Linked DNA regions of Rattus norvegicus. Each later gene encodes a partner of the first gene's protein in a complex. Links are inferred from orthologs where the notes say so. Each region holds a gene or a part of one and is shown on either strand. Other genes may lie near its edges.

Region 1 (3,913 bases):
CCTGCAACTTACACTTTATGCATAGCACACCTAGTAAGTAAGTGAAAGGAACGAATCCGTGAAAATGTCAAAACTGAGATGTGGAAAGTGCAGGGAAGTTTAAGGCTTAAATGTCTGAGACCAGCTGGTTCCAGAGGTGCTGGAAGGACTTAGTGGTTTAGTGGAAGGGCATCTGGCTCACTGTTAACGCAAGGTATGTGGGCTGTGGAGGGAAAGCGCAGTGATAACTCCATGGAGCACTATGCTCTCTCCTCACACTAACAGGGTATCTCAGTAGTGAGTCAGTCAACCCGTGTGACATGTTAACCATAATAGATTATTAGAAACACCTAGCGCTTACTGTAGCAACATACCCCATGTGGCAGAGTTTGTAGGCATGCGTGTGTATTGAAATAGGAAGTGGAAGTTTCCGTCTAACACAGCCCTTATGCTTCAGACCCTTTGAACGGACAGTTACCATGCATAAGGACAGCAGTGGACATGTTGGCTTTATCTTTAAAAGTGGAAAAATCACATCCATAGTGAAAGACAGTTCTGCTGCCAGAAACGGCCTTCTCACTGATCACCACATCTGTGAGATCAACGGACAGAACGTCATTGGCTTGAAGGTAAGGAACTCACCTTACCTTGAAGGTAAGGATCCTGGTTTCGGTGTCATTTTTTTGTAGAAAACATCATTTAGGTGGCAGGGCTTTTGTGATGACCCCCCAGTCACACTTGGTGGGAGGTAAGTGCAGGAGCTGGGGCTCTGGCTCTAGCTTAGGCCATCCAGAAGTAACTTTGGGTTATTTGAATTACCTTTCCTATGCCAAGGTGGCTAAACTGTGATTACGGGCATTCCTTAAGCTAGAATTCTGTTGAGACATGGGCAGGGAAATATTCAGACATTCTGAATGGATGCATGGCCAATTTTTTCATTCCAGAAATACAGAAAAGGAGTAAGTCTTGGTACTTAGTAATCCTTTGTATTTTTGTAGATTTTGACTAAGTCCATAAATTCTAGAACACAGTTAACTGTGGCGCAGGTAGTTCTCAAGCAAGAAAAAAGAGTTTTGTTCCGTACCTTAACTTTGCTACTAGCTTAAGAAAATTATATGTCAGATTAAAATCAAAATTCTGACATACCGGGACTGGGACTCCAGCGATATCAGCAGGACAACATCAAAATATAGTGCCTTTTTTACCTAACAATAGAGAACACCTTAGTGAAACTTCATTCTATTGTTTCATCAGGATGCTCAGATTGCAGATATACTGTCAACAGCTGGGACTGTGGTCACCATCACAATCATGCCTGCCTTTATCTTCGAACATATTATTAAACGGTAAGTAGATTGGGAGCTCTTCCACTTATGCTTGCCAGCACCTGACACACATGTAAACACTGCCTTCGGCTTGCAGGTCTTCTGCATATTAGATTAGAAATCTGGTCACGGTGGTTCCTAATGGGTGGCTTGCCTGCGAGGTATTGAGAGTGGCTGTTGCTGTTCTCTCCTGTGTTTTAGAAAGTAGAGAGCTGCATGGTGCTCACTATCTGTCCTTGGGAACCGAAGAGGGTACAGTCATAGGCCAGCAAGGTGGTTCTATCCAGAGTTTTCAGATCCTTTGTTCCTTCATAGCTGTTGCCATGCTGTCTTGGACACACTTCTTCCAGAGCCCTGATATAGCACATGAAAGTGAGATTTGGAATATACATAAACGTAACCTTTGTAATGGATTTTTGTTTATATGTTTGGGTTTTGGGTAGAATGAAGCTAGCTACCCTCAGAGCAGGAAAAAGAGTTGATTGTTGTACAGTCTTTTTTAACTATGGTAGGTTCCTTATCCTCCCTCCTTTTCTTCTGAGTCATCACAGTCGTCCATTTCAGTTAAACAACCAGTCTTAGTGTAAAGGCCTCGCACCTTCTCGCATGTCTATCCCTGACGTAAATATCTATTCTTCCTGGACAGTTTGTGACAACTCAGATATTAGTTCCTTAGATCTGTGCTCATTTAAAGACCTTTCCTTCTTCATCAAATTCATCAGCACAACAGGTGCTAAACTGGAACTGGGGTTGTCTTAGGTGAACATGGTATTTTTGAAAATAAGACGCCAGTTACATGAGTGGCTCTCTTGTAGGATGGCTCCCAGCATTATGAAAAGCCTGATGGATCACACCATTCCTGAAGTTTAAACCTTGTACAGTGCATCACCGCCGAACGCTTCCAGTCTTCCTCTTCGGCAACTTCTCTATTTCACCGCACATGAAGCTTTCCCGGATCCAGGGAGACTGTGCTGCATGGAGACCTGTCTATCTTCCACCATGGCTGGGAACCTCACTCTATCTGAGAGCGTCTTCAGATTTTAAGATAGGTGTAGCCTTATCCTGGTTTTACAGATGTGAAACTCTCAAAAGATTCCCTGACTTTCTAGACTTGGTTCTTTACTGGGAACCTGATGTTTTTCTATAAGCCATTGTGATTAGGATGACTGGTGTAGGCTTAGCTGTGTCCGAGAACTGGTCTGCTTTCTCCGAGAAGTGCACAGTGCTAGGCACGTGCTTCAGTTCTGTGGCATATGTGGATTGTAGTACATCAGCATAGTACCTGTAGGATGATTGCCTTTGATCGCTACTTTTTAAGTTTGTGTGTGAGTGTGTAAAATTCCAGTTAATCAACACTTCCATTCCACAAAAGCATTATACAGTTCTGTGTAGGTGGCAAGAGACTAATGATTGTCACTAAATTCTAACTACCTTCACTTAATGTGCTTCAGTTGTCGCCTTAACTACAGTAAGCATTTAGAATAAAAGCCAAAATAGAATTATTGCTGCCTTCTGAAACCTGAGAGGTTAGCTCTCTATCAAGCTGTTCTATGCTAGCCCTGAGCAGCTTACTGGTGTCGCAGAGCTGCCTAGCTGTACCAAGATTTTCTAGTCACTGCATAAAGGAAACGCCTAAGAGTTGCCGTATTGCTTTCTGAGATACAAATTGCTATATATTTCATGTAAAAGTTGTTATACTAAATAGGATAAATTTTGGAGTCTCTTTTTCACTCGTAGATTAAGTGGGTAATATCTAATTTGGCACTTGAGTCCTAACATTATGTAACTTTAGCTAGGTTGGGGTGGGTTTAGAATGTTTCCCTAGTCATCTCAGTTTGTTCCATTTTCTGACTCTATCCTGCAAACAAAAATGGCAATGACACTTTATCCTGACTCTTTCCTTCTTAGTTTGTGCCTATCTTATTATTTTATGTGATATTATCCTATTAAATGTATAAAAATATTAAATGTCAGTCTGTCTGTGATTGCATCAGTCCTTACTGTGAGGTTGCCTGACACCCAGGGTCTCTTAAGACAGTCCTAGAGCTCAGACTGTCTGGCAGTACACTAGCTGGGAGTCTTTATTGGCCAGGCCGTGGCCCTCTTCACCCTGCACACTTGATGTCATGGGACCACACTTGCTGGGAGGCCTAGATGCCCAGCCTGTGGCCACCTTCTCCCTGCATACCGGGCGTCAAAGGAACCTGGAAAGGCTGCTGGGTCCCTAGTAAAGCCAGAGACCATCCACATGTATTAGTGACACTTAAAACTAACTCGGGGTTCTACTACTTTAGTCTGGCTCAAGAATTTGTCCTTTTCACTGTAACCATGCTTCCAATAGCACAGAAAATTTGTAGCTGCTGTTCAGAGACTGAACGGAAAAAAAAAAAATCTTTGCAGGCTCTATATAGGCTACCTTGTTGGAAATTTATAATTCCCAGTTTGATTATCTACCTTGCTCTATGGACTTGTTCTGAATGTAGGTCCAAAAGAAATGAAATTGTATTTGTGTCATTAAGTATGGTTTTGTAGAAGGATTAGTACTTGTGATTATTTAAATAAGACAAGGGAGAAAGTGCTTTCATTACAGAAAAATATTTTTAATGTAG
Region 2 (3,813 bases), on another chromosome or scaffold:
TGGGACCTGAGTCCGTTTCCTGAGAAGGCTTTTTATTGGGGTGCCAGGCTCGTTGGGGACACGCGTAGGCAGGGTGTGTCTTCTCTGTGGAGAAGATCACTGTCAGGCCCAGCTTCATCGTCGTGCATTTGTGACTGTTCACCAGCACTGTTTTCAAGTCGTACCAGAAACTCTGACCCCCACCTCCCCGCAGCACTCCTGTCTCCCTGCATCATTTAACCCCCTCATCATTTTTACAGCTGCGTCCTGTTCCTCTGGTTGACAAAATGGTCGTCAATCGATTTTGGTACCCTAAGAGTAAAACACTCCAAGCGTTTGACACACACTCTCTGCCTTAGGAGAGCCTTGCAGGTGCAGAGTCGCCTTCCTGAGGGGCAAGTGGGCCCACATGACCTGTACTGGCTGCTCCAGCGTTTGCCTACCGAGGCGTGAAGGCTGCCGCTCCCCCACGCCTCTGCCTGTGTTCATTCCCGCCTGAGGCAGATGTGACTCCCACCCACCCTGTGTCATCTTCTAGGGTCCCCTTCCACCTAGCTTCCTCTCCAGGTGTGCTCAGTGTCCTCTCCATTTTCAGGTGCCACTAGATAACCACATCCCCGAGAATGCCCAGCCTGGCATCCGTGTCCCCTCAGAGCCCAAGGAACTGGAAGAGAATGAGGTCATTCCCAAAAGGGTCCCCTCCGACGTGGGGGATGACGATGTGTCCAACAAAGTGTCCATGTCCAGCACTTCCCAGGGCAGCAACATTTTTGAAAGAACTGAGGTCTTGGCAGGTAAGACTGTTTCCTTCTCTCAGGTTCTGGAGGGAAGAGGGAAGCAGACAGGCGGGCATGGGTGTGTCTTTTGATTTGCATTGGGGCAGCTAAGGGCTTTATCTCCCTGAAGGGGTGGTTGGGAGGGATAGTCGAATGCATATTAAAGGCTTCTAGAGAATAGAACAGGAGTTGTTTCCTTAGGCCCCTTTGGTGCTTTTCAAAGTCTTTTCCCCTGGCATCCGGAGTTAATTATTTAAGGGTTAATTTCCCTTGAAAGCCTGGAAGTCCGGACTGGAATTAGATTGGATCCCCTTTCACCCTCCTATCTATCTCTTTATCTCTCCATAGCAATGACCTTGGCTGGTTGCTCTTTGAGTATCCTGCCTTCATTTACCCCTCTGTGAAATGGGAAGGATGGTGCCTCCTTCTGTGAAGGGCTGTGCTGTCTTCAGAACTCTCGTTTGTCTCTTAGTTAGGACACAGGATGTTTTTATGGTACAGAACTAGAATATGATCCTTGTCAGGGGGATGTGCTGCCTTGCATGAAGCTTTAGGAGAGGCTGTGTCAGGCCTGGATGAGGGACATTAGTCGGGGGTAGTGCCACTCATTCAGGCCGCTCAAGATGAGTGGGTATCTCTATACCAGGTTGTCTAGGAAGGAGCAAACTTTCCAGTGAGGCAGGCAGTCTGGGAGGACTGGCTGGTGAGGAGGTGTTGGTGCTGCAGGCCCTTGCTAGGTATTTCCTGTCTCCTGGAAACCAACTGGGCCAGAGGAGACTGAGGTGTAAATAAGGACCCCTGTGCCCATGTCACTGTCCCATCTCCTTCCTTCAGGATCTCACTGGCCTTGTCTTGCAGGCCCAGTGACAGGGTCACAGTGTGGTTCTGCCTCTGGTCTTGTCAACATTCATTCAGCTTTTCCTTCACCAGTCTGCCTTGGTGGCTGTCAGAGCAAGGGCCCTAGAGACCGTTAGGCCTTGTTTCGAGCTTTGTGGAAACAACTGTTCTGTGGGGCTTCAACCGCAGAGTTTCACTCTCTCATAGTTTAGACCTGCTGGTTACCGGTTTTATTTACACGTGGTGTTTTAGATTGGTTCATTGGTCTTTTTTTGTTTGCTTCTCAAGAAAACTTCGAAAACCAGTCATTCTTCTCTGTGGGGCTCACAGAGCTAGAGAAGAACTAACCCCAGGCTAGCTCACTTTTCCACCCTGTGGTCACCCCAATGTAAGATCTTCCCTAGGAAAGATCCATTTCTCTAGCTCCCGTGGCCTCACCATTGAAAGGACAGTGAAGTCCGGCTGGAACCCTCCACTTCAGTAGCTTTTAAATAGCGCCTAGGAGTTCTGTGACGTGTGTGTTCTGTGGCTCCTGTGCACTCATGGAGTCTCTACGGTTTCCTAAAGTGGAACCTGAATAACTGGTCCAGGTCACAGAGCCAGGACATAGTGAACTCTGCTTGGATCTGGAGCACACAGTTGGCTTCTGAACCTGCGGCTGGTCCTTGCCCCTGCAGGGTCTCCCAGGGCAGATCAAGGGCCTGAAGGAGAAGTTGAGTTCTGGGAGGGAAGGAGCTGGAGACAGGCTGAAGGTAGCTTATACTTTTTCTTTTGGTACCCAGCAGCATTTTTGTTCTTGGTTTGTTTGTTGGTAGAAAAACTCTTGTTGGTACTTCCGGCTCCCCTGCACCAGTCTCTGTGTAGATTTGTAGCGTATGCAGGGCTGGGAAATTAATCTTCTTAGCCTAGGGTAAAACCGAATTAGGAGATTCAATCTGCCACGGGAAGGATTCTGTCCCTGCCCCTGACAAACAGAAATGAGTCATTCGGGCCACCTGGAGGGTAGACAGATGCTCACCCACGTGGAGAAGTGTACCACTGCCTGGCTCTAGTCAGGAGCTCTTCACAGAGCTGGAGGGTGAGGGCCAGGGTGAGAGTTGTGAGGAACAGGAGAAAGCCAGAGGTTTACAGCTCGGAGGGCACTGGGCACTTGAAGTAGATTATCGTAGTCTGAAGGGAAAAATGTAAGAAAGGGGTTTGTTTGCTGTTGCAATGGGAGAGAGGAAGAAGCTTGCCTCGTCAGCTATAGTAGCTGGGAAAGGTGTGGATTTCAAGGAGAAACCAGTGGGAACCACTGTTGAAGACACAGGAACAAAACCATGAGAATCGGAACTAGTTTGCACTATGACAGTCTAGACATCCGTGTGTTCTACGTGTTCGTAGACTATGGTGGCTGTCCCTGGATGCATGGGGCTAGGTGGGACCTGTGCACTCGGGGGAAAGGCAGAGCGTACCCCGTGGTAAGGACGGAAGCATCTACATGAGTTGCTGCCACCCGCCAATTTCCTTGGTCCTGGCTTAATGCTGCTGTTGCTGGAGAGTGTACGTGATGTCTGGAGAATGGGCCTGAGGTTTGGACTAGGGCAGATGTGGGATGGAATGTGGTGTTGCTTTGTGATCCACTCTAGCTGTGGTCTTACTGCTTCGTCATCTCCTGTCTGGTGGAAGCCGTGAAGGTCCACGCCAACGAGGTGTCATCTTGCTTGGTGTAGGGGGTGGTCTTGTCGAGATTGACTGATGGTGGGGGGAGGCGGGAGGGAGAGCTCGTGGACCCTGAGGTTGCAGTGACCGCCCTCTCAACGCTCACTCCTTGCTCTCCCCTACTGCAGCTCTGATTGTGGGCGGCGTAGTGGGCATCCTCTTCGCCGTTTTCCTGATCCTGCTGCTGGTGTACCGCATGAAGAAGAAGGATGAAGGCAGTTACGACTTGGGCAAGAAACCCATCTACAAAAAAGCCCCCACCAACGAGTTCTACGCATGAAGCTTCTTCCCATGAGTGCTGCTTGGACTTCATGGGGAGAGGAGTTGAGGATTGTGGACAGTGGACATTGGCAGAGAGAGGGCACCTTAATACTGACTTGTATCTCCATCTCTGGTCACCTTTCTGGTGTCAGAAGAGATATGATCTTCTACTGTGCTGCCTCAGAGAGAGAGAGAGAGAGAGAGAGAGAGAGAGAGAGAGAGAGAGAGAGAGAGAGATGGGATGGGGTGCGGAGGGAGT

What was found.
Region 2: the proteins of Sdcbp (region 1) and Sdc4 are in contact, whole or in part, in a crystal structure (PDB 8BLV), measured with the Homo sapiens proteins. The link is inferred for Rattus norvegicus from reciprocal best matches to the Homo sapiens genes SDCBP and SDC4. Residues at the interface, in NP_001007068.1 of Homo sapiens: Gly207, His208, Val209, Gly210, Phe211, Ile212, Phe213, Lys214, Thr219, Val222, Asp251, Ser252, Ala255, Leu258; in NP_002990.2 of Homo sapiens: Thr193, Asn194, Glu195, Phe196, Tyr197, Ala198.

Annotation. Positions count from the first base shown.
Region 1 is NC_086023.1:24,311,436-24,315,348, forward strand, and holds the end of Sdcbp (syntenin-1), read left to right. Parts: intron 1-436; coding exon 437-608; intron 609-1,233; coding exon 1,234-1,325; intron 1,326-2,119; coding exon 2,120-2,174; 3' UTR 2,175-3,277; downstream 3,278-3,913. UniProt on the Homo sapiens protein: Multifunctional adapter protein involved in diverse array of functions including trafficking of transmembrane proteins, neuro and immunomodulation, exosome biogenesis, and tumorigenesis.
Region 2 is NC_086021.1:173,575,861-173,579,673, reverse strand, and holds part of Sdc4 (syndecan-4 precursor), read left to right. Parts: intron 1-574; coding exon 575-773; intron 774-3,421; coding exon 3,422-3,573; 3' UTR 3,574-3,813. UniProt on the Homo sapiens protein: Cell surface proteoglycan which regulates exosome biogenesis in concert with SDCBP and PDCD6IP.